7 linked regions of the Xenopus tropicalis genome follow. The protein of the gene in region 5 binds, or shares a complex with, the protein of the main gene of each other region. Links are inferred from orthologs where the notes say so. Each region holds a gene or a part of one and is shown on either strand. Other genes may lie near its edges. The genes, in order: samhd1, cdc6, e2f1, rb1, ccna2, rbl1 and gmnc.

Region 1 (4,317 bases), on a different chromosome or scaffold from region 5:
TGAGCAGTGCATATGAGTACAGGCCCAGACTGGCAATCTGTGGGTTCAGGCAAATGCCAGAGGGGCTGCTGTAAGTTGCCATAGACAGTCACTATTTATTGGGCTGGAGGGGGCTGTTTGGGCCTCTGGGTACTTGGAATGCCAGGACCCAGGCCCAGACTGGCAATCTGTGGGTTCAGGCAAATGCCAGAGGGGCTGCTGTAAGATGCCATAGACAGTCACTATTTATTGGGCTGGAGGGGGCTGTTTGGGCCTCTGTGTACTTGGAATGCCAGGACCCAGGCCCAGACTGGCAATCTGTGGGTTCAGGCAAATGCCAGAGGGGCTGCTGTAAGATGCCATAGACAGTCACTATTTATTGGGCTGGAGGGGGCTGTTTGGGCCTCTGTGTACTTGGAATGCCAGGACCCAGGCCCAGACTGGCAATCTGTGGGTTCAGGCAAATGCCAGAGGGGCTGCTGTAAGATGCCATAGACAGTCACTATTTATTGGGCTGGAGGGGGCTGTTTGGGCCTCTGGGTACTTGGAATGCCAGGACCCAGGCCCAGACTGGCAATCTGTGGGTTCAGGCAAATGCCAGAGGGGCTGCTGTAAGATGCCATAGACAGTCACTATTTATTGGGCCTCTGTGTACTGCCGGGGCCTATTTTCTGTCCCAGGTACAAAACACGTTAGACTATTTATTATGCCCTAATACAACTTTAACTTTTTACAACTATGGCTCATTCTACTTATTAAGGGTCCCACATAGTTCCATGTAGAAAAAATAGTGATACCTTCCTGCATCTCTTCTTTGCACATGAGAGTACAACCCTGTGGCTATTATTTATTTGCGCCAACTGACAAGTATAACAGCAAAGCTGAAGCTACTGATGGAATCTATGTTTATAGGCTCTGCTTGCACAGTGAATGCTGGGAGAGAGTACGGTGGAAATAGTGAGGCACATTCAAACCTGTGGTTTAGAGAAATCCTTGTTCATGCACCACTGAACAAAATATCTTTTTGCCGCCTCCAAGCTTCTTTCGTCCGTTTTCTTGCAATAAACACGGATAATCTGCTCAGCAAATTTCTCCGGCAGGAGCTGGGAAACCTGATATAGAAATAAAAAGATAAGATTGGTAAGTTTGTACTTAAAGGGATACTGTCATGATTTTTATGGGGTACTTTTTATTTTTAAATGACACTGTTTACATAGCAAATAATTCCCTCTGCCATTTAACATTTTATTCTTGAACCAATAAATGTGTTTTTAGCTGTAATATTGGTGTGTAGGCGCCATCTCAGTGCATTGTGCCTGAGTCTGAGCTTTCAGAAGGACCCAGCGCTACACATTAGAACTGCTTTCAGCTAACCTATTGTTTCTCCTACTCCCATGTAACTGGAGGAGTCCCAAGCCAGACTTGGATTTCTTACTATTGAGTGCTATTCTGATACCTACTGGGAGCTGCTATCTTGCTCCCTTCCCACTGTTCTGCTGATCGGCTGCTGGGGGAGGGGGGGGGGATATCACTCCAACTTGCAGCACAGCAGTAAAGTATGACTGACGTTTATCAGAGCACAGGTCACATGGCTGTGGCACCCTGGGAAATGAAGAATATGGCTAGTCCCATGTGAAATTCCAAATTAAATATAAAAAAAAAAAAAAAAACGTTTGCGTTTTTGAAAAGATTCCAATGTTGATATTGAAATGAATCCATCTCAGTCCTGCCTCGTGGGGTTCACACAGAGGGAACAAGCTCCCAAGTATCCACATGGCTCAGTGCAGAGAAGATTCACCCACTGGAATTTCACTTACCTGATCTCTTCTAATCTTTATTGCTTTGCGAGGATCCGACTTGCAGTAGAAGCGCACGTTGTTTATTGGATTCTGTTCTTTCATTCCATAATCCATATGAATTACCTACAGAAAACATCACAATTAAAACTGCCACATGCTCTGAAATACAAGGGGCATCCCGCAAGGTACATATTTCAAGGAGAAGGAAAGGTAAAAACTAAGTAAGTTTTATCAGAGTCCTCTATCAAAAGAAACAAAAGATTTCTTGTCTCCTTTTTTGTAAACGTGTTCTTCGGTATCAGACTTCCTCTCTCAGAAAAAATCCTTAATTCCCAGGGCAGAGTCTGCTCAGCTCTCCCCTCTCCTGCTCCCCCCTCCCATCAGCTTGAAAAAGGAACTAGAATGTTCTGAAAGCTTGCTATGGTTATCTTAGTTAGCCAATAAAGGTATCACCTTTATACCACTTTTGTTATTTTTTATTTCAAAAGGGTTACCCTGTAAACATTTTTTGACTGGCTAACACAGTACATCACCTTTTCCTGCAATAAGAATTCATAAAACTCACTCCCCCTCCCATAAGAATGTGTAATCTGAGCTACCAACAGCTAGAGCTGCAGCAGGAAGCCAGAGGAGACCAAGCTAAAACGGCAGCTGCTATCTTAAACAAACAGAGGGGGCTTCTAGGGTTGTTTACTCAGGTATGGTAAAGCTTTCTGCAGAATAAATATAGCATTCTATGTGGCACTAATGTGGCAAATCTATTTGCAGTAAGATGCTAAAATGCCTTTCCTTCTCCTTTTAATGGTGCATATTATGGAATACAATTACTGTTTATTCACATAGCACTGACATATGATGCAGAGAGAACTTACAGTTAATGTACAGGAGACTGATGTCAGTAAGTATGTCCAATCGCACAGAACAAAAGAACTTGCAGAAAGCAGTAATGGAGATTTGCACCTAGAATAGGCACTCTTATTGGGTAAGAGACTGCACTTAGCGTCATTTTGGCATGCTGCACCCGATAAGGATAACCCTTTTAATGTTAATCCCCATTACAACAGCAGCTTCAAGCAATATCTAAGGCAAGCCTTTCCATCACCCAATCAATTTATTCCGCATACAGTCTAATGGGAAGGGCTACTTACATCTACTATAAAGTCCTCTGTGTTAAGTTCTACATCTGTTGTTGATGTTTGTGGAACTGATTTTGCCAGATCCGCTGGTAATGTATCATATTCATCCTGCAGGAGAAATGCACATACTGTATTTGTATAGTTAATGAAAAGAAAGGAAAGAAGCACTCACTTGTAGAAGGGGTAATTGTAAATGTTATAGTCAGTGCTGCATATAATGGACTCAAGGAAACAGTGACATACAACATAGTCCTCAACTACAGCTGCTCTCAGTTCTGCATTGGCGTAAAGGTTCCCATACACAGGCTGATAGTAGCTGCCGATATGGGTCCCTTAGACCGATTCGGCAGCTAATCGGCCCATGTATGTGCACTCCCAACAGCCTGCCCGACCGATATCTGGCCTGAAATCGGGCAGATCTCGATCGGGCAGGTTAGAAAATCTAGTCGGATCGGGGACCGCATCGGCTTGTTGATGCGGTCCCCGGACCGACTTTTCCTATACCCACCGTTATAATTCGATCGTTTGGACCCAGGGCCAAATGATCGAATTACCCTGGATTCTCCCGATATTGCCCACCCGTAGGTGGGGGATATTGGGAGAAGATCCGCTCGCTTGGTGACATCGCCAAACGAGCGGATCTTATGCTGTGTGGGGACCTTTAGGGACTTGTTGGGTTGGTCGTTATCACCATAATCAAGTGGTTTAACCAAATGCTTTTATTACCCCACAGCATTCTGCTTGATTTGACTGTATGTTTCCAATTTCAGGCACCTGAGAATAGCTAGAGGGCCCCAAGTGTGCAATGTAAAAAGGCCCCTCCTTTCACAAGAAACAGTGACGTTTACACAGTGCTGTCCCTTCTAGCTATAGGTTGTGGCAATACCGGTTCAACCCCATGACTGTAATGACTGAGCAAGCAGCACAGTTTACACTGCCTTAACCATACAAAGAAACCCAGTACTAGAGAGCGTGCATTTCCCAGCTGTTAATCCTTACCGGTTCAATTCTGGAGTTGATGCTAGGGTGCGTTTGTCCTACAAATTTGTACAGCTGTCGCCGTTCTACTTTGCGCAAAATTTCTCTGGCTTCCTTTAGATCAGGATTATCAGAATAAAGGATGTGATGGTATATGTTATCTGGAAGAAAAGTGCAGGAATATATCATTCATTTCTCACTCAGTTATAGGGAAATGAGAGTCACAGCGCTCTCCAGAGATTTTAACATTATTCAGCACAATGATCTCACTAAAATGCATTTTAAAAAGGGCATCAATCCACCCAGGCAGGATCAGGGATTCACCTTGAGGGATACAAAACAATTTTTGTGTTGGCCTGAATAATAAGTATTATACACAGGTATCGGACCCCTTATCCGGAAACCCATTATCCAGAAAGTTCCGA
Region 2 (4,293 bases), on a different chromosome or scaffold from region 5:
GAAGCTCTGAGTGAAGACACACAGAGCTACTTAGTAGCAGATACTCAATATGGCTACTAAATGCCAGAAAATACCCTGCCATATACAATACTGAGCATTGCCTCTGCTAAAACACACAATTATCAGTAAAATAGTCTATTTTTTTTTAGCTGTGACAGGTAGGGGCAACCTAAAACATCCTCCCAGTATGTGAATGAGCTCCTTTATGGGGTATGGAGGAAACAAGAAGCACAAAGGGAAACAAAGTGGAGACAAGCATTCACTTACTTTCAGTTAGCGGCTTGAGGACAGTCTGGCCCCTTACATCCGCTTCAACAATTTCAACAGCTCTCCTACAAGCAAAAAAATTTAAGGATTATGGCCTGGAAAGACATGCATAAACAGCAAAACAGAGCAGCTTTCCAACAGCATTTCCCCAGAGCATGCTAGGAACTGATTATACAAGCGATGCACCACCCACTGCATGCAGCTTCCAGCAGACCTAAGTCTGAAGATGCAGCCACTACTGTGTATTCCTTAATATATGGTACTGCAAAGTATAGTGTTTTGGCATAAACAAACCCACACAGGTTTACTGTAGCTGCTAACCTATCTAGTTATTATATAAAAGAAAATATCAAGTAAATGAATTTTTCCCAGCTGCTGCAATTCCTTTCAACCTTAATCCGAATATAAATAAGTACCTGCAGATGTCTAGTGCCTTTCGAGCATCTCCAGAGACTGCTGAAATTTTCCTGGCACAAAACTGAATAGCAGCATTATCCAGAACCTGGTCACCTGAAACCTGTACCGGAAACAAAATAAGCTCCTTGAACATCAAGATACAGCATGACAATACAACAGTTTTTATGTCACTTGTAGCACAAGTCCCTTGGCATTCATTTTCAAAGCTCTTTTGACCTCTGGCTGAAATAGTCAATGCGCATATCTTGCATACAGGTAACACAAAGGTACCCTCACTTGGTAAACTTGCACAGGCTTTAATGGTTAGTTTCTATTTTTGTCAGCAATTTAATATGAAATAATTGCTTGAGATAATTGTATTGAGAGCAACTAAATGGGGATGAAAACATCTATTTGTATTGTGTACACATGCATTTTTGCATCTGTAATCAACATAATTTAGAGGGTAACTGCCTTAAGTATAGCAGATATCAGGTGCTGTGCTAATCAATTTAAAAATGCAGTAAATTTATATTGAGCATACACAAGAACACTTGTACATCAAGGTTTAATTACCTGATTTAGTCTCTCCTGCAGAATGGTAGCAATCTGATCCTTTGTATACGGAGAGAAGTTAAGCAGCTGTGGCTTGCACTGAGGTCGAGCTTGTAGCCTAGGCAGAATACGGTCTGTCAAATCTAACGCGTTAGCAATGCCTGAGAGGGGGGGAAAAAAAAAAAAATTATACATTAGATGTGTCAAGATGGAATGAGGACCATTAAGCTTCCTAAGAATCATTAAGGCATAGATCATATGCACAGAGCAGTCTGTTTTACAGTAATACATCAGTGGGAAATATATTTAGTCTGGGCACTACTACTGCTCCTTTAGTTACGCATCTTATAAGTAAAACATTTTCAGAGCAAAGAATTAAATGCTCGATATTCTTCAGGTCATATATAACATTTAGATTGATTAAATGTTGTAAAGATTCCGTTGCTTACCAATAAGAACCACCCTAGAATTTGGAAGCCAGGGCCACTCAAACACTGTGTATAAGACATCCTGTCCTCGACTATCGAGCTGATCCATCTCATCCAGCACCAGCAGGCTGCCCAGAAAGGAAGCAAATGTTATATTGATGAGCAAAATAAGAACTTGTAGGAACACAGTTCAAGAGAATGCATGTTACCCACAGTAAAAGCTAAGAGAGACCAAAATATTGTCAGTACGTACATGATTGGGCCCTTTGAAGTCACCGTCTTCTCCAAACTCCTAACAATATCTTTTGCAGCAATTGAAGATTTTCCACCAGAGATTTCTTCAGCTATGGCCGGAAACACCGCCTGGGAGCTGCGCAATGACATGCAGTTGATGTAAACCGTCTTGCATTGCTTGAGGTCATCCTGTGCAGAAAGAATGAGATTAACTATGAATAATGGAAAGTCACAAAACAGTTTATATCATTTTAAATCCTGCTTTCTTTTTACCCAAACCAAGTAATATTGACACATTTAATCACGTTAGAACACTTATGGACACTAATAGGCTAAGCTTCAAGCTCCGCCAGCTGCCCCTTTATTTAACCGTCACTCCACTTCAGCCATAGTTGCTGCAGAAGCATTAGCCTTGGTGAGAGACTGGGGAACTGATGTATCCAGTGCCCCTAGCCTATTGGGTCTTGGCTACAGCAGTGATGTCTGGCTTGGGTGCAGGCAAACAATGATTAAGTAGTGGCTGTATGATTTTTAGAGTGATATGGACCCATTCCTGTAAACAGCATATATAACTTAAATTAAGATATGACACTGAAGCGGAACCAACCTTGCTCTCCTGCAGCAGCTTATTCAAGCAAGCCGTTTTGCCAGTTCCTGGAGCACCAGATATGTAAAGGCTTCCTGGCTTCCCACCAGAGACATGACTTGTCAGGAAGGCCTTGATAGTCGCAGTCTCACTGTCACGGGCCAATAGACGCTCTGGTATAGCTGTATTCAAAGCATGCTTAGCCTTCTGATAGCAAGAACCTAAGCAGGAAAAGGCAAACTGTCAAATATACTGTTTTCAGAACCATTTTTATGACACGCTTGTAGTTGATGACCTGGAGATTATTAAAATTCAACATAAAAAAAATGTATAAATAAATAGTTATAACATTTCAGGAGGCCCAATTTATTCTTAGAATATAGAATCTTAAACCAGAATAAAAAAAAGTGGAGACCTATTAAAGTTTACCTGTTGACAAAGTTAATGCTAATTAAGTGAAAGATTACTTATTCAAGTGCCCACTTACCCTCCTGTTTAAATAGCCGGGCACCCACACTCTTCCTCTCGTTGTTGCGAGAGCTGGATGGTGTCTCTTGCCCCCTTCTCAAAGGGGACAGCAAATAAGGATCCTGCACCCTCTTGAGAGGAGATACAGGTGTTGTTGCCGACTGGTTCTCGTCAAAAAGTAACCGGCGTCCCTTAGGGGTGCTTGGCGGGCCATTCTCTTTGCGAGACTGCTTGGGTGGTGAGCAGCTTAATGTCTGGGGAACATTGCAAAGATTGTCATCACCTGGGTAAAGGAAAAAAAATAGATTAAACACGGTCATCGATAAGGGACTATTTTAGATCAATATAGGAAAATCCCAAGGCTGCCTTTTCCTTACCAAGTCGTTTCCTTGGACTCAGGGGAAGCTCTTTGGGAAGTGGAGAGAGTGGCAGCGCGACAGAGGAGCCGTTTTCCAATTTGGTCCTTTCACGGGAGGCCTCTTTGGTGTGCGTTCGAGCATTTTTTTTCTTGGGAAACTGAATGGCGCTTTGAGACTGAGACCTGGTGCTTGGCATTGCTACAAGAATTATAAGTAGTAAGATTTAGTTCACAATCCATAGGGTTAATGCGAACACCAGCAGACAAACTAAACATTGAAGTTCTGTCAGTAAAACAATGGCAACTCTGGCAAAGCTGAAACTGCAAGCTGGGCCACAAAAAAGCCTTCACAGAAACTTGGTGTAAATAGAAAAAAAATAAAATGCATAAACCTTGACTATCCAAACAGCTTTTCTCAATGGATTTGCCAAAGGGTCACAATAAAGCAATATTCTTTTGCTACAGCCTTTAGGGAGTATAGGTAAAACCAGAATTAAATGTTGACTTTAATGAATATTATAGATTTTTTTAATTAACACACATTTTCAGTGCAAGACCTATATACTTAGCTTGTGCGTAGTCTAAGTGCATATTGCCCCTCCGAGTATTAGCCCTCCCCCTTTTGTAGGATTTATGATGAGGATTACACAGCAGCAGCAGTAGCATGGGAATACTGTAATTTAGAATAAAAGGGCTTTTTGGCTGCACAACAATCTGACTGGTTACTCTGTTAGTACCCTGATGCTACATACAACAGCTTCTCTCGGTATCATTCAAGCATAAAACAAAATGCAGCCGACAGGACATCACTGTTATTATCGCCTTATTGCCAATATCTGCACAACACCCTACGTCTTCATCTTCCCCCCCAGAAACTGCACTAATGAGCACAACCTTCCCATCAACGCTAACAAGCTACAGGGAAGCTTGAGATTAAATCATCAACAGGGAGCAGTTATCCTAATGAACGAGACAAGCACGCAGGATGCAGGTTAACAAGT
Region 3 (4,825 bases), on a different chromosome or scaffold from region 5:
GTAAACCCATTATCCCAACTAAGATATAATTACCCCTTATTGGGGGCAGAACAGCCCTATTGGGTTTATTTAATGGTTAAACGATTCCCTTTTCTCTGTAATAATAAAACAGTACCTGTACTTGATCCCAACTAAGATATAATTACACCTTATTGGGGCAGAACAGCCCTATTGGGTTTATTTAATGGTTAAATGATTCCCTTTTCTCTGTAATAATAAAACAGTACCTGTACTTGATCCCAACTAAGATATAATTACCCCTTATTGGGGCAGAACAGCCCTATTGAGTTTATTTAATGGTATAATAATGGTATATGGTATATAATTACCCCTTATTGGGGGCAGAACAATTCTATTGGAAAAGACCACTTATCCGGAAAACCCCAGGTCCCGAGCATTCTGGATAATGGGCCCCATACCTGTACTCATCTTTCCATGCATATGTCAGTCACTCATTCAAAGCACTGCCTGGTTGCTAGGGCGGTTAACCCTAACAACCAGGTGTGGCTGCTGAAATGCCAAACTGAAGTTATTTTACAAAAAGCTTAATAAATATCTGCATTAAACTTAAGATGAAGAACCCCTTCCATAATAACCACTGACACCATGTTTTTATTAACATACACAATACCTATACTCAATATATTTAAAATAATGCATAAACTAAAACAAATGCACAATTACTATAGGTAGGTGCATATAAAGCATTTCTTTTTTACTTGCTCAGCAAATAAATGAATAAATGCTGCTGAACTGTTACGAAGTCCTACACTTGGCAGAAATGTGTAGCTGTTTCCCTGAGCAATTACATATTTTTTTCTTTCAGGCCTAAAGCAACTTTTACCCCAGCCAAGACCGATTTCAGTGCATACTTGCAAACCTCATTTGCTACATAACATACATATTTTTTGTGCTTATTGGTGAGGTTACCCAATGCTACAGCAGTGCTGCAGATGACACCCTTACATATTTCTGCAGCTGAGAGATAAAGAGCACTCAGGAACAGTGACTGGTCATTTAAACAGTTACAGCTACAACTTGACTGCCACCGAGGCAGATCAAAAGGGCAAGAAACCTTAACCAGCCTATACTTTACAATGCCCTAAATGTTTACCTCCATAATACTAAAGTACGTGCTCTAGAGAACAATAACCATATAAAAATAAAATTATTTTCATGCAGGATTATTCCCCGCATTCCCTATATATTATATATATATTTTGTCCCTGAGGAAGAGCACAGATTGTGCTCGAAATGTTGGAATTTTTTCAATAAAACCACTTTTTCTTTTGTATCAAGTCCCTATGTGTGCGGCACTCTTTCTATTATATTTTTGTTTTTTTGACCTGCACCAGGGGCATTTGGACTTGTATAGGGTGTGCTCCTCCCTGTATACTTATATATATATATATATACACACACACACACACAAGTCCAATAGCAGCAGGCACTCACGTTATATATAGTCTTATTCTGCCTTGGTGCAGTCATTCAAAAAAAATAACTAATGCTTCAATAAATTTCCTTTATTTTTTCACACTAAGTCCTATATATATATATATATATATATATATATATATATATATATATATATATATATATAAATAAATGATAAATAAAATTACCGGTGGGCGTCCAAGATCAGGCCTCTGTGCAGTGTATGACGTGGAAGGACCCTGAGGGGTGGTAAAAAGCATTAACTCTGCCTCACTGAGACCAGGGTTTCCAGCAGCTTCAGCAGGGACATCTGGGGTGGATATAATAACAATCTGCTGTTCAGCCACCTGGAAGGTTCCAGCTTCCCAGAGAGCCCCAAAATCTCCTTCACTGCAGCTATAAGACACCCCAAACTCCTGGGACATGATCAGATGGTGGTGTTCATCTTTGCTTCAAGAGTTCCCATAACAGAAGAAAACAGCTGATAATACAACAGAGGCCTAAGTGTTCCAATGGAGCTTTAAGCCAACAGCAACCCCTGGGCTGGACCATGGGACAACAAAAAGGGGGGTGCAGGTGAAAACAGCCTTTGAGCAAACATCATGGAACATCCAGATTCAGCCCCAAAATAAATGCCATTTCCAAGTATCCATAACAACTCAGTAATATAAAAGGGGGGAAATGGTTTTGCAAAGTGCTAAAATCTTTAAAACCAGCTAACTTTCTGCTTGCTCATTCACACAGGCTGCACCTGTCAACAAAAGGATCACAATGTCGGGCGCCTCTGATAAGCAAAAGTCTTGTCTTTTGAGATCTTCTTGTCGAAATACGTAAGCTCCGACGGCGACTTAGAATGCAGCCCCGAAGGCCAAAATTCAGTGTATAAAAGGGAGAGACTTCTAGCAAAATTCACTGTGTTAAAGGGCAACTACAACGTCTTAGAACAAAAAACTCAATTACAAAAACTCTATAAAGCAAAGGCTCAGAACAAAACACACTACTAATAACAAAACAATGCACTGAATTAAAGGGGAACTAAAACAACAAAATGCACTGAATTAAAGGGGAACTAAAACAACAAAATGCACTGAATTAAAGGGAAACTACAAGTTCTTAGCACAAAAAACACTTAATTACAAAAACTCTATAAAGCAAAGGCTCAGAACAAAATACACTACTAATTACAAAACAATGCAAGCCCTCAAAACAATATGCACTGAATTAAAGGGGAACTAAAGCAACTGAAATAACAAAATGCACTGAATTAAAGGGGAACTAAAACGACTGAATCAACAAAATGCACTACATTTAATAGGCATTTATATAACCCCATGAACTGCCCTGTAATAACTCAAGAATAGCTTCACCCAAACCCTCAAAAAATGTATCTAAGTGCAGAAAAAAAGCCTAAACTGGCTAAAAACAGAGCAGAAAACATTAAATACAAAGTCTAATAGAAATAGGGTGGTAAAGTGCTTGACCCAGTCCAAAGCAGAATAGAAAAAAAAACACCAAGGCAGGGACAGGGTTAAAATAAGAAGTCTATAGGAAAAGCTGCTAAAACCCCAAAGCACATATTTATATTAGTGCAAAGATTCATGTATTGGGAGGGGGGTGCGGGAATAATGTCAGTGTGTTGTCCTCTCCTATAAAAGGCTTATTCCTGAGGCACGACGAACTCCAATAAAAGAAATTGTTATTGGTTCCTGTAGGCATTCACGGTCCCGGTACCACCACCGCCGGCGGTCGGTTCCTCCCAGACTTGCTATTGTTTTCGCCTCCCAGCTGATCCCCCGGTCTCCCTCAGCTCGCCCATTTGCGCGCCAATTCCTTTTTTGCCGCGAAACCATACACAACGTCAGCGGCGGCGCGCCATTGGCCACAGCGGAAACGCCCGGCGCGCCTTATTGGCTGGCCGGTGTTTGGAAGGCGCTGGCGGGAAAGAATAGAGGTGACAGAGCGGCGGCGCGACCAATCAGAGTGGACAAAAAAAGAAACAACGCAGGTGATTGGTTAGTGTACGCAAGGGGGTAGGCAGGCCTGATAGTGTAACAGGAAAAAATAGGCTCATTTCCTAGAGAGCTTTGAAAGAGAGAGAGAGAGAGGGGAGGCTGAATGGGAAGAGTTGTTTGTTAGTGAGTGAGCGGAGGTCAGAAAATCTAAATAGCACATTCCTTACAAAGGCGGCTTGGCTTTATGCCAGGTGGGAAACGCGTCTAAGTGATAAATGAAGGTTTCCATAAAACCTCTTTTATATCTTATTCCGTGACGTAGACATCGTTAAATAGAAATAGGAAGTCTACCTCTACCCTTTCATGTTTGTTTTAGTTGTGCAGGGAAATGCTGGTACTAAGGGAAAAGAACTCAACTGTTCTGCCATGTGTCAAATATCACCCCTACCGCCCCAAACACTCAATAAAATTGCTCTGGGTCAGCGGGACGGTTTAAACCATAAATTGGGCCAGGGTACTTTATAGTACATCAGCGCCCGACTGCCATTTCTGAGACAGAGGCCACAACGTTGTCTTATCTGCTGTTTCCTTATACCTCCCAACATATATGAAAATAAAGCAGGAAACAACCTCTGAGACGGGCACTGCAGTGAATTTTTTTTTTTGCCACGTCCATTTTGTGGTTTATACATGTAGGAATGGATACATCAGGAGTGAGGAAGCACTAGCTGCACCACCGTTTTATGACAGATGTTATAACAGACACACTTCGGCGCCCACATTTCATGCCACAGTCTGGCCCCCAAGCATTTTATGACAGACATGGTGGTCTTCCAAACATTTCATGACAGACCCTTTGGTCCCCAAAGCATTTCATGACAGACACCGTGGACCCCAAAGCATTTCATGCGAGACACAGTGGTTCCCAAAGCATTTCATGACAGACATCATGGTCCCCCAAGCATTTTATAACAGACGCTTTGGTCCCCAAAGCATTTCATGACAGACACCGTGGTCCCCAAAGCATTTCATGCGAGATACAGTGGTTCCCAAAGCATTTCATGCGAGACACAGTGGTTCCCAAAGCATTTCATGACAGACATCGTGGTCCCCCAAGCATTTTATAACAGACGCTTTGGTCCCCAAAGCATTTCATGACAGACACCGTGGCCCCCCCAAGCATTTCATGACAGACACCGTGGTCCCCCAAGCATTTTATAACAGACACCGTGGTCCAACAAGCATTTCATCACAGACGCCATGGTCCCCAAAGCATTATATCACAGACGCCCAAACATTTAATCACAGACACCGTGGTCTCCAAAGCATTTCATGACAGACACCGTGGTCCCCGAAGCATTTCATGACAGACACCGTGGTCCCCGAAGCATTTCATGACAGACACTGTCATGCCTAATGACAGCCATGGTAGTCCC
Region 4 (4,317 bases), on a different chromosome or scaffold from region 5:
TTCTGGATAATGGGTCCTATACCTGTACTAGCTATTTGCCTCCTGCTCAGATTTCCCCCTGCGCTCACACTCTCGCACACTGCCACGATGGAGTAAGATAGTTGCAAAATTGCTTTTGCCACTTGTACCACTCATTTGCTAACCTAAGTGCTTAATTACACCAGTGCAATTTCCCATACCAACCAATGTACAAATGCACTTGTGCAATTCAGCACCTATGTTTGTAAATGAGCCCTCTGTAGCAATAACACTAAGTGCTGGTGGCATAAATACAGTGAAACTAGGTGAGCTCTCAGGGACCTGATATGGGTACTGAAAATGGACCCTTATGAACAGTGCAATGAGGATAGAACTGCTCTGTAACAAAGCACCTTTTTAAAATCCTTAGTGTTCCAGCACTTGCAGCAGGAGATTTTATGTATAGGCCTCAAAGACCCTTTTCATATGATTTTTGTTTCCAGAAGCTAGTCCCATTTATAGTGACTGTGCCACTGGAGGGGCAGCTGGTTCCCATTTAGAATGTTCCTGTGGACATGTGCTCCAGATATAGTGAGACCCTGAAAACACTATCGTTCTCACTACTGAGTCCCTGAAAGTGAAAGTTTCATGAGGGAAGATGAGCTTGTGAGAAAGAGTAATTAGAACAAAGTCCAGAAAATAAATATATAATAAGTATTTCTTTTTTTTGCCATATTACAGTAAGTGCCATGTGGAGATACACTATGGGATATATGGCTATAGTAACAAAGTGTACCATCTAAACCAAAACCCTTCCGGAATCAGTGAAGTTTAAAACGTACTCCCAGAAACTACGGGACTAAAATCCATAAACCTCTCTCATGACCTGCATTCAAACTAAAGATTCTGTCCACCACAAAGTCTACCACACTTTTTAGTGGACTAAAAAAAAACCATTAGTTGAGTTATACATGAATTCCATATGAGTTATAGAAACATCCAGAGAAACCTGCTCAGTCTAAATCCTGCTTGAGCTGTCTCCAGCACTCAGCATGTACGCCATATAATGCTAAAGTCCTACAACTGGACCCCTGAGCAGCCCATGGCCTTGTACAGTGCTGAGGAGTGTATGGCAATTCCTATAGTAGTGATATGTAACAAATGATACATCTTGAAAGCTCAGATCTTGGGCATCTATAATGAGAAAAAGTGTACTTCCACTTGCATTAAAAAGTAGGGCATCTGTAATATGGCAAACCATGTGTCAAGTCTAATATTATTTCAACGAATAAAATTAAAAAAAAAAAAAAAAAAAAAGGCCAAAGAGTTTTGTTGAAATATGTTTCTATGGAAAAGTATTCAGGGCTTTCTTTATAAAGGGTTTGCAGATAATAGATCCCATACCTGTATGACAAAAGGCAACATACTCTTGTGAGTGTGGTACTGTTTGCCGAATGCACACATCACTACATATATTTCCATCTATTTCCCAATTATGTGCCCAATACAGATAATTTTAGGGCCACCCCATGGTTGAACAAGCACACACGTGTCTCACAAAATACTTACTCATTTCTGCCAGCTTTTGGTGAAATTTGGATTCTTCAGATATATGTTTGCTAAAGAGAAAAATTTGAACTCATTAAAAATAAATTCACTGAAAACCGCAAAACAATTACAAATTGTAACTTTCGTAAAGAATGAGAATAACTTTGCCCAGACACTCCCTAGCTACCAACTAACCTTCCATCAGCTTCATCTTGTCCATCTGTATCAAAACGAAGCTTCTTCAGGGGCTTTGGAGCAGCACCAGTATCAGCGCATCTTTTTATTGGTCGCTCACAGCTGTTAAGCATTTGGTTAATTTTCTGAAACCTGTCAGGTGACTGAATGGGAGAAAACATTAGACATAATAACCACACAATGAAATCGTATAAAGTTACAGAGATCCTTAATTACAGGAGTGAAACCAAGAGGCAATATGGGCTCCTACACAACTCTGCAGTTTCTCACTTTATTCACATAGTGGGCCAATGTACCAAACGTTTAGAAGCCAAACCAACTGGGAAGTCTGGAGGCCCTCGAATCTGTTGGCTCAAGTTATACAGCTCTGTTCTACAGCATTTCATACTCTTCCTGGGTAGGACAAGAAACAAGATTTTGTTCCTGATCTGTCCCAGTTGTAACAGCGGGGGATCAAGGATTCTCTCCTGTTTCTTTTCACTGGAAATTGGGGGGAAAGTTGTCAGTTGTGTGCTTGTGTAGTGTCAGACTGGCCCACAGGGATACCAGGAAAACTCCCAGTAGGCCCAGGTGTCAGTGGGCCCTCCTGATTCTAACAATTGGGCCTAATTTATTGAAATTCCCTATTTCTTTATGGGAACAAAGAGACTAAATATTAAGAATAGATTATAGTATGTAAAGATAAAAAAAAACTATGAAAATATAGCGGTTGAGTGAGAAGTGACTGAAAAATAGTTTGGAGCGTGGGCCCATAATCTAGGATTTTCTGGTGGGCCCCTGGCATCCCAGTCCGACACTGTGCTTGTGGCACCCAAGTAATGACACCAGCACAAATGGCAAATTGTGCTGCACACAGAATGTTCTGCTCCTGACCATCTGCAATTGTGTAATTATACCATTATATAACTCACTATCCCTGCCAATGGTTAGAGAAAGCAGCAGAATCATTTTATTTGTTTCAGTACTGACAAAATTCTGACACTGGATGGACTGAACACCATACAATGCAACACAATCATTTAGATGTACTTATGTATAAAAAACATACATACCCTAAATGTTTCGCCAAGTGAAATAAGGAAACTGCAAAACACAAGTAATGGATGTAGGTAAATACAAAGTAAAAAAGAATCAATTAATTCTCAGCACAAAAATGTATAGGATAACGAAACAATTGCACTAGTTATCCAAAGATACATTACACCTTCATTAGTAGGGATATAATTTAGAACTGCTTCTGGACTGCCACCTTTTCCTATCTCTTCCACCTCTCTCTACATTAATATGCAGTTATGAAATCTAAAAATCTAAAACAAAACTATATATCCATATATATATATATATATATATATATATATATATATATATATATATATATATTTATATTTTTGTTTGTCTATATATATATTTATATATATGTGGTCTTGATAATGGTCTTAGGAGGAGACCGAAACGTTGGCCTGTTTTAACAGTATGTTTAAATAAAAGTAACGTTTTAACTTTAAAAAATATCCTGGTGTGCACCCAATTTTTGGACTTATATATATATATATATATATATATATCTATAAATAGGCAATGAAGGGAAAATATACTTGATTTACAATAAGTATTGCATTATTGTAGGCAGCATTAGATGAGGGTGTATCATTAGCAAATCCTATCTAGAAATATCTTCAGTTAGTCACAAGAGTGGGTGCTGCTTTACAACAATCACCATGGGTCTGCAAAAAGGTTCCCAAAATTAATTTGCTGTATCGTGCACAAGACAAGTGTATGTGGTCAATGAAGGCAGAATTGAAACTCTGAGGTCTAAATGCAATTTAATGTGTATCTAGTATCCATCCAGCAGTGTTAGTAAAAAACAAAACAAGCTTCACCAAAATAAACAAAAATCAAGTTAACATGAAGAAAAAGGAACATTCTCTTTTTGTTGTAAAACAAAAAATGGCTAAAACTGTCATCATACTAGAAATTAATTCAGGCGAAAGCCACATGTGCTTGAGCAATCAATATGTATAATATATAAAGTCACAGACAGTGGCACTGTACATTAAATGGTAGTATACAATGAACATACAAGGTTACATACAAAAACCAGAGCTGTGGAGTCGGAAGCAATTTTTGGGTACTGGAGTCAGCAAATATATACCAGGTTCAACACCTAATAAATTTACATTGTAATGAAAAAAAAATACGTTGTCCTATTTCACAGAGAATAGTCATAATTAAGTACTTCTCTGTTGTAAGAATAAAGCCCAGTGTGTAGTTGTTTCACTAGTGTTAAGTCCATCTCAGCTATTATAACCTTATTGTTTTCATTTTTGTCTTTTGTTTAAACTTTAGGTTTAAGGACTGTTTTTAGTTTCTTTAATAAACAAAATAAAAAGCCATGATATAGGCTTGGTTAAAGATTTAGATCCAAACTTGAACAGTATCCCTATTCGTGTTGGCAGTGCCAGGCTTGTATGGCCAATAGCTTTAAAATAGCTTTGGCAGTGATGAAATGCCATGTATGTTGTGCAGGGGTCTCAAACTCGCGGCCCGCGGGCCATTTGCGGCCCTCGGTACAATATTTTGTGGCCCGCACCAACGCCTTCTCAAAAGCAATGAATA
Region 5 (3,538 bases):
CAACAATCTTACAGTACCTCAATCAGTACTTCCAAATACAACCAGTCTCTCCAAAAGTGGAAAGCCTAAGCATGGTATGTATGCACCTATACAGATGTGACTATTCACTTCATACAATGGCTTTCTGACAGCTTAACATTTCCTATCCACCTCCTCACTTGATTCTGGTTGACAGTCCTGCACTGTACATTATTTTGCTCAGGTCCCTTTAAAGGAACAATTGCTAACATGAGAATTTTATATAGGCTTTCTCATGTAAATAAACTTTCTGTATTTTTGGGAATTGGCAATCTTCTCTTCCACCAGAAGCTGGTCAGTTTGGTTGTCTAATCAAAGGAGCATGCAAATTTATTTGACCTAACTGTCAAAGTATGTGCTTATTGCACACAGCTCCATGTAGAGACAAACTGCTTAGGGGGATGTAAGAGTAACTTGAGTATTAATATTCCTTTCCATGACATGAAGGTTCACATTCACCATAGTGCCCATTTTAACAAGCCATTCAGTTGTAGTTCACATTACATTTCAAGCTGAAGTTTTTACATCCCTTGACATTTAACAGCCAAGCTTATATTTACAATAATTTTCCTTTCGAAAAAGCTGATTTTACCATGGTGGGTTTAACAGAAAAGGTGTGAGCTAGTACATTTACTGCCACAGGTTTAAACATGACTTCTGTTTGCTGTGGGTTCAGCATTAATATGAGAAAAATGTAACCATGCAGCCTATGGGTAACTATGTGAATGACTGCGTATGTATGGCCTGCTTTTCTAGATGCATATTGGCGTCTCAGTCTTGTTTAAAGGGATGGTTCACCTTTAAGTTAACATATATAATGTCACAGAATGGCCATTTCTAAGCAACTTTAAAATTGGTCTTCAGTTTTTGGTCAAAAGCTTTTATAGCTTTTGCTCTGTAAGGCTACATTTTTATTTTTTTTTGCTATTCAGCCCCTCTACTATTCCTAAATCACTCTCAACCTGCTCCCTGGTTACTAAGGTAAATTGGACCCTAGCATCCAGAACTACTGAAAATCCAAACTGGAGAGCTGCCTTTCAATTAAAAAAAAAAAATTAGACAAATTGCAAATTTGCTCAGAATATTAATCTCTACATTATACTTGAAGTTCACTTAATGGTGAACAACACCTTTAAGTAGCCAGTGCTGTTGTATGGCCAGCTAAGTACTACTTTTTAGTTGGATGGCTGTTCTGATGCTCTGTCTTGAGTTTATTTAAAAAAAAAAAAAAAACTGTTCAGTCAGCCATGGCTGTAATGTGTTTATAGTAAATATCCCTTTGTCTTACAGTTCTTGGGAGAGCTCAGCTTGGTTGATGCTGATCCTTTCCTGCGGTATCTGCCATCTGTTGTTGCTGCAGCAGCATTTGTCATTGCCAACTACACAGTTAATGAGAGAACTTGGGTATGTAAAGCACTTTTTTCCCCAACATGTAAGATACTATGTAGCACAGTGCCATCACAACTTTTCATTCTGAGGTAGTTGATACCCCACAATACTTACTGCTACAACATTAAAGAAACTTTTTTTTAGAATTAATACATAACTTATACCATAAGTGCAATTTTAAAGCATTTTACCAACCTGGAATATACATCTGTAAATATTGCACTTCTACCTTGAGCCACCATTTTGTGATGCTCCCTCAGACCACCTGACCGGAACTGCAGCTATAACTGTAATAGGAGGAAGCGTGGGGGTAAAAAAAACATCCCTGTCTAATGGCTGCTGCAGCCTAGCAGTATGTAGGCCCTTGGTTTGTGAGCCAGGGGGCAGCCCTTAGTACTTAGAAACTAATTAGGATTATCCAGTGGTACTTAATACTAAAGTCTATTTTCAAGAATTTTTCTAGATTAAGCACGGCCTTACAAATTAGCTGTTTAATGTAACAAAATTTTATGGAGACCTGCAATGTATAAGGTTTTCCTTCCGTGTTACAAGGTGTTGCTGGAATATCAAGCTTGCTTCTTTACTAGCTAGGCTTAAAGTTGCTAATGTAGGTGCAATCAAACTGTATATAATATCTAAAACTTCTTTGCAGTCGGATTCTTTGGTGCAGTACACAGGGTACGCTCTTGAAACACTTAAACCCTGTATTTTGGACCTATACCAGACCTACCTCTCTGCTGCAAGTCACCAACAGCAAGCTGTGCGAGAGAAGTACAAAACTCAGAAGTAAGTAACTGGTTTTTTTTTTTTTTTTTGCCAAGTTTGTAACTTAAATTGTAGATAAATGTAAAACTTGGTGGTTTGCAGGCCTCAAGTTTAAATGTGTTTCTTTTTCCTTCCAGGAATCACTGTGTATCTCTTATTGATCCTCCAGAATCGTTGTCTATATTTTTATAAACTCAAGGGATGGACTTTGAAGATGTATATTGATAAAAGCACATGATGTACAGTTAACTTTTTTTATGATATAGACTTTGATTTTATATTGCAATCTTCAATGTGAGGATTGGAGCGACAGAATTATGAAGCAAAGTCACTTGTTTTTATTTTTACTTTATTTTATAAGGTTTTAAATTTTGTAAATTTTTATGTATGTTAAATCTTGTTAGATATATTGGCTCTTTAAAAAGCTGTTGTGCGCAGATTGAATTAACCAGGCAGTTAGCATATTTTACCTATTGATCATTGTTTGACAATAAATGTTAACTAAACAGCATCAACTGTGGATTGATTTTGTTAACACTGGAAAAAGTCAATGAACTTCCAAATGAACTGTCCCCCTGCAATGTTCACACCTCAGTTTCAGACTCTAACCCCCCCTGTATTCTCACCTGTAAGACCCCAGACTCTAGGCACTAGTTATGAGCTCTTCCGCTTGTGACTTAACACTATTGGCTTGTGAATTTATAGATGTGTGCCTGACACCCTGTCCCTTTTTTGTGATGTCATTGCAGGGCATGTCTATAAATGGAGGGGAGAAGCAGGGTTAAGGTTGGGACTGGGCGGGTTAGGGTCAGGTTGAGGGTTTTTTTTTCCCACCTCACCTGTGCGCACCTAATACTATAGGAGCAGTGCCAGCATATGATGTACTGTAGTACAAACTGGCCACGTTGGAGTGGTCATGGCCAGGTTTCCCCATCTCCTGCCTGTGTGTGCCATACTCTGCCTGCCCTATGCTGCCTGTGTGCTCTTCCCTGCCTGTGCCATACTCTGCTGGGGGGGGGGGGGGGGGGGTCTTGTGCTTTTATCTGCAGATTTGGTTGCCTCTCTGCCTACAATAGAACTCTTGTTGCAGCAAATCTTATTTCTCAAAGTATGGGAGTTTACCTGTTAACTTTATTTCTGTGCACAGAGACTCACCATAAAGGGGACCTGTCACCCAGATAAGGCATTTATAAAAATCCCATACCCGTTATAAAGGCACTTACAAAAATCCCAACTGTTAATCATATATTGCCTGCATTCTTCTGCTCAATCCATACTTGAGGCATCCGCCAACCTTACTGATGCTATTCTGGACACCACTCGGATGTTTGCTGCCGCAGTTATTAGTTTAAAAAGGTCCCTCACA
Region 6 (3,165 bases), on a different chromosome or scaffold from region 5:
GTTAGGGCCTGTCAATTTTTTTCTAGGAGAAAAGGCACAGGTTAAATAGCAGATAACTAGTAGATAAGCCCCATATAATGGGGGTTTATCTGTTATCTGCTAAGTAACCGGTGCCTTTTCTCCTTTGAATGGCTGCCCCCATGGCTACACAGCAGCTTACTTATATAAACTATAGTAGTCTTTCTGAGGCAAACACCAGTTGTAGCAATGCAGGGCAACAGTACATTATATTGTTATTACTTTTATACACTTTCATTTTTTGGTGTTACTGTTCCTTTAAGTCATTCAACGTTAATTGCCTTAGGGGGCATCTAAAGAGGCCAGGATTCTAGAACTGCATACATGTTCAATTTGAAAGTGAGTGTATAGTCATCCCAAGTTAACAGCAATACTTTAGCTAGGTATCAAGCCCTGTTTGATCTACATGAGCAATTGAGATGATTACTTTGCTTAAGCCCTCTGCTCTATTATTAAGTGCCCGCACCTGTTGCCAAAGTTGCGCCAGTTTGTCCGGTACTCGGTGGACCACGTCCTCCAAGTCGGATCACCAAAGCTAAGCACAGGTTGTGTGGTCTCTGCAGGTTTTGGAAGTTCTGGCACAGCAGGGAGAGGTCTGCCTTGATCATTTTGAGTTGCGTGGTGACCAAAGTGTGGATCCCGTTAATTGCAGCTAGCAGGCCAGCATTAGAAGGATCGGGAGTTGTGTTTGCGGGTGCGGGCTGTTCAGAAAATGATGGAAGGTGGGTCCGCATCTGCAGCCTTGTGTGCAGTCATTGTAAACTGCGGTAGAAATTCTCATTTTGCTGGATGCTGCTAATCACCATAGAGAGTGCACCCTCAGGCCAGGGATTCTTAAACTTTAGGTTGGGATCATAAAATGGGTCCCCAGGCTGTTTAACATTGGCTGTCCATGACCCCTGCACCCCATTATGGATACTGATTGGTTCATCAGCTGGGCAACAGAGTATGGCAAATAGGCAGATGAGGAATTGTAGTTACAGCTCCTCCACACTTTGTTATTCCAACTGTTTAGGCTTTCAGCCCCACCAAAAGAAGTCAGTACAAGTACCCAGTAATAGTAGGGACCTTTTTATTTTACATATTTACACATAGGCATATTACATATACATTTATATACTATAACCTTCAGCCTACACTATTGTGGTACACCTGCAGCTCCATTTCAGGCAGATGCTTCATTGGTCTGTTGCAAGGATCTGGGGCTGCATAGATTTCATTCCTCCTCTCTTATTTGGTGTACCATATATAATGTAAAAGTCAGAATTGTGAATAGGATGCTTCAAGAAGATTCATCTGAATGGAAGTGACATTGTAATGTACAATAAAACGTTATGTACAGAGATTTAAAAAGGTGCCAGCAAACCATAAAAAGGTGTAGATGCTACACAATTTCATTCAGCTCAAAAAAGCACAGCAAAGATTCACATCAAAGGGTTTCATTTTACGCTAGGAATAAAAAGATAAAATGGCTGCACGCAGATAGAGCAGGAAAAACCCAGCACAGAAAATGCACTGCCAAATATTTCTACTCCTTTTCCCTGGAGTCCGTAAAATGACTGTATAAACACAGCGCAACGCTGGAAAATCCAAGATTTTGTTGCCAGATCTTGATTGAACTCAATCTGTAAGTTCATACATTACAATAAAAAGAATCTCCATTAATGCTTTTGGAGCAAAAAGAACACTTAAAAAGGAACAATAAAAACTGTATGCTGCGCTGCTGAAAGCTAGTGTTCATAAAATTAAAAGTCTATAGTTAAAAAATGTACTCATGAAGCTTTGCTTTGTATCAGTAAAATGCTACTGCAGGTAATGAAATAGAATTCAGTCCACTAGGGGGCGCCTCCACCGGCAGTATTATTACAGCTCACAACATTCAACCCTGATGAACTCAGTAAGCCATATATGTTTCATATAAAGGCAAAACTGAGGAACGATAGACTTTCCTTTATCACAATAGGTTAAAAATATCATGTTAAGAAAAAAATAGATAAAACCATGGAAACGGCAGGGCAGTTGTCCCATCACGACTGACCACGTGGCTAAGGCTTTTGGCCAACTGCAGTGATTGAGATTGCAGACAGTAGCTAGCAAACAGTGTACAATATCATACGTGCAAGAAGAGTCTCCAACACCTAATGGAACTCGGGGGCCCAGTTGGAAGGGTACTGACCCGAGACTTGCCTAAAATGTAGCTTTTTAATGGGCCGGAACCACAGAATGCCAATGGCCAGACTGCAGCTAATGGTTGGCCCTCTCACTCACGACATCCTGCAGGCGTTTCAGCAGAGCATCATCATTTTCCTGGCAGAGCCGCTTTGCCGGGGACTCCGTGTCGCTGTCAATAGCAATGATCCGCTTCCGGCTCCTCTGCTCCTGTTTCAGCATGCTGTTTATGTCCTGCAAGCTCTTCAATAAACAGAATATAATAAGTACAGAGTCCCTTTAATGTCAACCAATGCCACCAATCAAGCTCCCCTTTATTCTACTGTATAACTATAATCGGGATATAAACGTCCCCAGCAAGGGCACAACTTACTTTTGAAGGACTTCCATTAAACTTGTACAGGAGGGCTGTGTGGGGAGTCAGGCTGCCGCTGTTCTTATGGGGAGACACATAGATAGAATGCTGCTGGGATACTCGGCGGGGAGAAATAGCTTGTTGCTTGATGCTGGGAAATGGCGAAAGAGGCGGAGCATCCATCTAAAAAGAAAAAAATCACATCAAATGTATGGCCCATGCTATAAAAAGGAAAAGGACACCTTCACAATAACTTAATATGTTAAAGATAGATCAGTTTAGGTAACTTCATTATGATGATGGATGGCTGGTTGCCAAGGTCACTGACCCTGGCAACCAAACAGCTCAAGACAATTTTATTATTGCTTTTTTTCTAGGTCCTCTATCTGGGTGAAGACACAGGGGGCGATTAGTAATCTGCGTAGTGAAAACTCACGGGTGTTTAGTCGCAGCGACTTCTATTATAACCTATGGCAGAAAAGTCACTGCGATTAGTCACCGCAACAGACTTTTTAAAAAGTTGCGGCAACTAATCGCCCCATGTTTTTTCGCCCTTATACATCTCCCATTTTTATTTCAAGACTGCTCCCTCCTCTCTAGAGTAACTAACCCATAGAAATCAT
Region 7 (4,786 bases), on a different chromosome or scaffold from region 5:
CCCCAGAGAAATGTATTTGCAGAAGCTTCTTATTATTATATTAGGCTGTAAATTCCTGTCTGGACACGGCTCCCAATTACTCAAACAAATCTTCCATCTCCTCCAATCTATAACACTAAAGTGGCACAAACCAATCGATTTTTTTTTTCATATAAAATCAGGTAGCTTTATTATTGTGAAATAGGTAAGTCAAGCAAATATCAATTAAGCAGAATTAAAACAGAATTTAGTTTATTTAAACCCATGGTCCCAAATGCTTATTTAAATAACAATATCTAGTGATCGGCAAAGTTGTCTTTATTCAGCTCATGTATAGTTGTACTTGTGTTTAGCAAACAGTGACTACTGGAGCCTCGCACAATCCTCTGGCTTTATACCCCACTGATATCCCACTGAGCCCCCTCACTTTGCTCTTCTTACCTCCTGCCTTACAAGCTCATTAGAAAAATGACTCAATATCCAAATCAGCTCCCTAACCATATTCATAAGTGCTGATATTGCATTGCAATGTGATGTTTTTTTCAATCAATCACCATATGTGTATATTAAGAAAAAGGTAGAATACATCAACTTTTTAAATCCACTCCATGGGCTTGAAAGTATTTTCATCTAAAGTATTTTCTAAAATAAACTTGATTGTCTGACCCAATACACATGGGACTTGGTCCTTTGGTCTCCTAGGCAGAGGGAACTGGTGACAAGTAGAATGGGACCCCAATTAAAAAAAATAAAAGGCCAAAACAAATGCAACTGCATCTCTGATCCTTCCCAGCTACAGCACATTTGACATCCCTGTCATCACACTTTTACATCTCTGGGGTCCCCCTCTGCAATATGGCCCCTGACTGCAATACCCCCCCCCATATACCACCCTGATGGCAGCCCTGCTTGTGGCCCCTCGTACCCCAAGCCCCCCTGCTGTTATGGGGTTTACCTCCTCTATAGTTACATGATTGATTGTGGGGCTGTCTTCAAAAGAGAATGAAGTGCAATTACAAGTTCTTGAAGGGGGGACCCATTCATTTAGACTGCTTGGGCACCCAAGTGAACTTCCATAAGGCGCTGCTGGAGCCACAATAAACACTTTCTTATTTAACGATTGAAACTATTATAAATGCACAGCTGTATTTGAACTTATCCCAGTTTAGCACCTATGCTTTCCAGTCTCCAATCACGCACAGACCAACTCTTACCCCTGCACTCAAATTTTTGGCTTTTATTTATTGCATCCATATAGAGAATGTGGAACAGGTATTGCAGTATTATTACAGTGTATTACAGTATTATAACAGTGTATTTCAGTAGTATAAAAGTGTAATACAGTATTATAACAGTGTATGTCTGTATTATAACAGTATATTATAGTGTTATAACAGTGACATTGTAAGAATATTCCTAACACTGCTGGTAAACTCAAACTCTAGCTGCACACACTGCCTCCCACCTGTGCTACAATTCCCTGCTTTTGGTGTGGGGAGGGCAGAGGGAGTTTAAAATTGCTGTATTACAGACTCCATAATAAGTTTTCAACTGTTTATGTTGATCAAGATTTTTTTTTGCATGTGATAATTGACATAGATAAGAGCCTGTCCCACCCCATTGAACACTTTAGTTTTAATACAGAATAAACAAATGTGGGGTTGGGTGAGCAGAGCTAGATAAAAGCAGACTTTATTCTGTATGGTAATTTATTGGGAATGAATAGCTTTGATTTGGGCAGGCTGCTACCATCACCTATTTGACAGCTTGGCACCAAATCAGATTCGTGGTTTCCAGAGTCCTGGGGGAGTGGCCCAGCTCCCATAGATTAGGGCTGCTCTGGCTCAGCCCTCCCTCACTTCCCTTTAAATACTGCTCACAGAGGCTTCAATGAAAAGGTGCCTGCCAGGAACACATTCAAGCAACAAAATGGTAAGTGGCTCGTGTGCTCGTCCCTGTATTCAGGAATGGCTCTAGGCTGCCTTTTGCTTTCCAGAAGTGTGCTTCTTTATTCCCTGAGGTGTTGGATTTTGTATATTTAAAACATCCCCTACACAGTCTGTATTTCCCCACTGCTTGTATGAAGTACTTTGGCTCCTGTAGGATTTAATATTGGCTTGCACAGCAGCTGCAATGAAACTAAATGTAACTTTTGGTTTTTAAAGACACATTGCTGGACTTTGGGTGACTGCAAGCCCCTTTTGCTAATTTCCAAAACCTTTAGGTTGTGTTACCTGCTGGTTCATATGTACCTGTCTGCACTACCACCTGGAAAGTGGGGACTTGCAGTTGTCTTTCCTGGTCCTGTCCTGTGCTACAAAGCTGCTATTTCCAAGCTCTGCATAGTGTGAGAGTTATACCTGCACATAGGCTGAAAGGAGATTTAATTCTGGCACTTGGCATTGGCAGCTAGATAGGTCAGTGGCTGCTGCTTGTACTTCTGCCTGCACTTGGCGCGCTCCTGCCTCCTTCAAGTTGTAATAATGAATGGGTCAGTGTAGAAGAGAGGGGCAGAATGCTGAGTGTCTGCTGGAAATCTTGGCATCTAGAGGAATCTCAGTAGTTGGGTGCAAGTCCATTGCCAGCTGATTTGGATTCCCATTCACAATGTTGAACAGGACAATGCTCAGTGAATAGTGGGAGTCGAACAAGAGAGAATGGAGCGCTACCTCCCCGAAGTCTCTTTGCTTTTGCTCAGACACACAAGGATCTATGTGACCATATCTAACAAGTGCTCCGTTTATGTTGATTTTTCAGAACACCATTCTGACTTGCCAAGACCAGTACTTTGCAGGGGGTCAGGGTTATGACTGCCCATACTTTTCCTCAACGTCAGCCTCCACTGTTGATGTTTCCAAGGAGACTTGGGTCTCTCTCTGGGCTTCTGGTCTCCTGGACAACAGATCAAGCAGCCATGCCCCACACACTCAAGGTAAGTCACCTCTCCCCCAAGTAAAAATTAATTCCAGATAAGAAAATTAGATAAGGGGTGGCAGATGATGGAATAGTTTTGCTCTCTGTTAATTTTTCACATTAAGACTTTTTTATACTGTACTTTCATTGTTTTTTTATAATTGTGTTTACCTTTATTTAATATACTGACATGAAATATCAGATTAATTTAGAGTAAATGAACTGTTTATTTAAGCCTTGCCCACACTGTTCTTTCACTGTATGTTGTTCTACTTTGGGTTTGCTTAAGTCATTAAACCTGGACCTGTCTCTCCTTATAGAGCAAATTTATAACATGGGGAACTCACTCCAAGAAGATTATCTGTTTGGTGACCAACTATCTACCCAGATATTCGCCAATAAGCAGGTAAATATGTTTAAATATTAAAAACCAGAAAACTGTACATAGGAGGGGTAATCTAGGGGTGTCCAAAACATAACCCAGCCAGCATCCTTCACTCTCAATCCCAATTACTTTGAACACTGACTCTGTAATGATCTTGGGGGGGGGCATTCTAATTATGTATAGTACTAAAGGCTCAGATGAGGTATACAGAGATCACAGTGGGACGTTCATAAGTTTATCCAACGTATTTCCAGCCACACTAAGTTCATTTCTTTCCCCACAGCTCCAGGATACCCTACTGCAAAGGGAAGAGGAGCTGGCCAGACTTCATGAAGAGAATAACAAACTGAAGGAATACCTGAACTCTGCCTTTGTAAAAGCCTTAGAGGAAAAGACCAAGGTGTGTACTACAAGCCTGATCAGCTTCCCCATCTGAGATAGTATAAGCACTAATCTTTCATTGAGTGAAAGGGGAACATTATCTGCAATGGGTTTATCTACAGCAAACACAGCAATTAATTATCTAGTAGGTAAATTAGCAGTACTAATCTATCCCACTATGATAGCGATCTGCCCAGATAAGAAGGGCTTCTAGATATATCACACGTGCTGGAGAGGCTTCCCTGTATGCTGAATTAATTGCTGCTAAACTGTTCCCTTTTAGGAGCAAGTGCTTTAATCAGGGCGGTGCAAAGTGGAAAGTAGCCCAGGGTGAGCACTCTGACTCTCACTCACTTTAGCAATTCAATAGGCTCTATTGTTTGCTGCATTGTGTGCTTGCAAATTGCACCTGTACCTGGCCTAGATCCCCTGCAGCGCTAAACACTCGTCAGCACTCCAGCAAAAGAAGTTTCATTGTCAGAGTGCTGGAATGCCAAACACTGTAATCCATTCCTGCTACAGGTTCTTACTGCAGAAATCAATGGCTGAAAGGGCAGGCAAAAGATTTGTGCTGGTTCTATTGTAAGAGGCATCATTTGAAGCAGATGGGATTTTGTACTTAAGAGGCAGTTCACCTTTCAAACATTTTTTTCTTCAGTTCAGACAGTCAAGAAGGGATCATTCTTTTGTTTAGTTGCTTCCTATGTATTATTTGTTGCTGTTTTAAGTATTATTATCGTCCCTATGCCGTTACCCCGGTAGCTGATCAGTAAACCAGCCTGCCCACTGTCTGAACTTTTACAATTTGCTCCATTAGTTCAAACATTTCTCAGCAGCATCAGAGATATGCCAGCAACTAATCAACTGACTTCAGTAACATTCAGGGCTACTCTTGGAAAACAGGAAAAGGTGAAAAATCAACCTTTTAAGATTTTTAAACAAAAGTGGTCACAAATAATCCATGAAAATCATCATCATGAAAAAAGTCATTTAGTAGAACTTGTTCACCTACAACTCCCAGCATTCTCCCACAGCCTTAGGATGTCACTGGCAGTTGTAGTTGGAGGTTCCCAGAATGATTATATTTGGATTGAACCAATGGGAGTGGAAGCAGATCTAGTAATATAT

The links.
Region 1: the proteins of ccna2 (region 5) and samhd1 are in contact, whole or in part, in a cryo-EM structure (PDB 9HIW), measured with the Homo sapiens proteins. The link is inferred for Xenopus tropicalis from reciprocal best matches to the Homo sapiens genes CCNA2 and SAMHD1. Residues at the interface, in NP_001228.2 of Homo sapiens: Met210, Ile213, Leu214, Trp217, Glu220, Val221, Glu224, Arg250, Leu253, Gln254, Tyr280, Ile281, Thr282, Asp283, Asp284, Thr285; in NP_056289.2 of Homo sapiens: Lys615, Ser616, Arg617, Val618, Gln619, Leu620, Phe621, Lys622.
Region 2: the proteins of ccna2 (region 5) and cdc6 are in contact, whole or in part, in a crystal structure (PDB 2CCH), measured with the Homo sapiens proteins. The link is inferred for Xenopus tropicalis from reciprocal best matches to the Homo sapiens genes CCNA2 and CDC6. Residues at the interface, in NP_001228.2 of Homo sapiens: Met210, Ile213, Leu214, Trp217, Glu220, Val221, Glu224, Tyr225, Arg250, Leu253, Gln254, Glu277, Tyr280, Ile281, Thr282, Asp283, Thr285; in NP_001245.1 of Homo sapiens: His89, Thr90, Leu91, Lys92, Gly93, Arg94, Arg95, Leu96, Val97, Phe98, Asp99, Asn100.
Region 3: the proteins of ccna2 (region 5) and e2f1 are in contact, whole or in part, in a crystal structure (PDB 1H24), measured with the Homo sapiens proteins. The link is inferred for Xenopus tropicalis from reciprocal best matches to the Homo sapiens genes CCNA2 and E2F1. Residues at the interface, in NP_001228.2 of Homo sapiens: Met210, Ile213, Leu214, Trp217, Glu220, Val221, Glu224, Arg250, Gln254, Tyr280, Ile281, Thr282, Asp283, Thr285; in NP_005216.1 of Homo sapiens: Val88, Lys89, Arg90, Arg91, Leu92, Asp93, Leu94, Glu95.
Region 4: the proteins of ccna2 (region 5) and rb1 are in contact, whole or in part, in a crystal structure (PDB 1H25), measured with the Homo sapiens proteins. The link is inferred for Xenopus tropicalis from reciprocal best matches to the Homo sapiens genes CCNA2 and RB1. Residues at the interface, in NP_001228.2 of Homo sapiens: Met210, Ile213, Leu214, Trp217, Glu220, Glu224, Arg250, Leu253, Gln254, Tyr280, Ile281, Thr282, Asp283, Thr285; in NP_000312.2 of Homo sapiens: Pro869, Lys870, Pro871, Leu872, Lys873, Lys874, Leu875, Phe877, Asp878.
Region 6: the proteins of ccna2 (region 5) and rbl1 are in contact, whole or in part, in a crystal structure (PDB 1H28), measured with the Homo sapiens proteins. The link is inferred for Xenopus tropicalis from reciprocal best matches to the Homo sapiens genes CCNA2 and RBL1. Residues at the interface, in NP_001228.2 of Homo sapiens: Met210, Ile213, Leu214, Asp216, Trp217, Glu220, Glu224, Arg250, Gly251, Lys252, Leu253, Gln254, Tyr280, Ile281, Thr282, Asp283, Thr285, Tyr286; in NP_002886.2 of Homo sapiens: Gly654, Ser655, Ala656, Lys657, Arg658, Arg659, Leu660, Phe661, Gly662, Glu663.
Region 7: the proteins of ccna2 (region 5) and gmnc are in contact, whole or in part, in a cryo-EM structure (PDB 9HIU), measured with the Homo sapiens proteins. The link is inferred for Xenopus tropicalis from reciprocal best matches to the Homo sapiens genes CCNA2 and GMNC. Residues at the interface, in NP_001228.2 of Homo sapiens: Met210, Ile213, Leu214, Asp216, Trp217, Glu220, Val221, Glu224, Arg250, Leu253, Gln254, Tyr280, Ile281, Thr282, Asp283, Thr285; in NP_001140158.1 of Homo sapiens: Asn165, Ala166, Lys167, Arg168, Asn169, Leu170, Ser171, Glu173, Phe174, Ala175.

Annotation. Positions count from the first base shown.
Region 1 is NC_030686.2:42,477,696-42,482,012, reverse strand, and holds part of samhd1 (deoxynucleoside triphosphate triphosphohydrolase SAMHD1), read right to left. Parts: intron 4,054-4,317; coding exon 3,914-4,053; intron 3,023-3,913; coding exon 2,927-3,022; intron 1,902-2,926; coding exon 1,797-1,901; intron 1,092-1,796; coding exon 954-1,091; intron 1-953.
Region 2 is NC_030686.2:8,864,593-8,868,885, forward strand, and holds part of cdc6 (cell division control protein 6 homolog), read right to left. Parts: intron 3,492-4,293; 5' UTR 3,490-3,491; coding exon 3,312-3,489; intron 3,218-3,311; coding exon 2,954-3,217; intron 2,688-2,953; coding exon 2,488-2,687; intron 2,070-2,487; coding exon 1,900-2,069; intron 1,775-1,899; coding exon 1,668-1,774; intron 1,380-1,667; coding exon 1,240-1,379; intron 785-1,239; coding exon 684-784; intron 333-683; coding exon 268-332; intron 1-267. UniProt on the Homo sapiens protein: Involved in the initiation of DNA replication. Also participates in checkpoint controls that ensure DNA replication is completed before mitosis is initiated.
Region 3 is NC_030686.2:41,689,984-41,694,808, reverse strand, and holds the start of e2f1 (transcription factor E2F1), read right to left. Parts: upstream 3,337-4,825; 5' UTR 1,863-3,336; coding exon 1,626-1,862; intron 1-1,625. UniProt on the Homo sapiens protein: Transcription activator that binds DNA cooperatively with DP proteins through the E2 recognition site, 5'-TTTC[CG]CGC-3' found in the promoter region of a number of genes whose products are involved in cell cycle regulation or in DNA replication.
Region 4 is NC_030678.2:135,016,029-135,020,345, reverse strand, and holds part of rb1 (retinoblastoma-associated protein), read right to left. Parts: intron 2,785-4,317; coding exon 2,754-2,784; intron 1,845-2,753; coding exon 1,702-1,844; intron 1,578-1,701; coding exon 1,528-1,577; intron 1-1,527. UniProt on the Homo sapiens protein: Tumor suppressor that is a key regulator of the G1/S transition of the cell cycle. The hypophosphorylated form binds transcription regulators of the E2F family, preventing transcription of E2F-responsive genes.
Region 5 is NC_030677.2:66,840,601-66,844,138, forward strand, and holds the end of ccna2 (cyclin-A2), read left to right. Parts: coding exon 1-74; intron 75-1,308; coding exon 1,309-1,422; intron 1,423-2,059; coding exon 2,060-2,193; intron 2,194-2,309; coding exon 2,310-2,364; 3' UTR 2,365-2,683; downstream 2,684-3,538. UniProt on the Homo sapiens protein: Cyclin which controls both the G1/S and the G2/M transition phases of the cell cycle. Functions through the formation of specific serine/threonine protein kinase holoenzyme complexes with the cyclin-dependent protein kinases CDK1 or CDK2.
Region 6 is NC_030686.2:42,375,496-42,378,660, reverse strand, and holds the end of rbl1 (retinoblastoma-like protein 1), read right to left. Parts: intron 2,726-3,165; coding exon 2,561-2,725; intron 2,431-2,560; coding exon 2,263-2,430; 3' UTR 1,074-2,262; downstream 1-1,073. UniProt on the Homo sapiens protein: Key regulator of entry into cell division. Directly involved in heterochromatin formation by maintaining overall chromatin structure and, in particular, that of constitutive heterochromatin by stabilizing histone methylation.
Region 7 is NC_030681.2:104,601,892-104,606,677, reverse strand, and holds the start of gmnc (geminin coiled-coil domain-containing protein 1), read left to right. Parts: upstream 1-1,388; 5' UTR 1,389-1,869; coding exon 1,870-1,911; intron 1,912-2,736; coding exon 2,737-2,911; intron 2,912-3,212; coding exon 3,213-3,298; intron 3,299-3,560; coding exon 3,561-3,677; intron 3,678-4,786. UniProt on the Homo sapiens protein: Regulator of DNA replication. Promotes initiation of chromosomal DNA replication by mediating TOPBP1- and CDK2-dependent recruitment of CDC45L onto replication origins.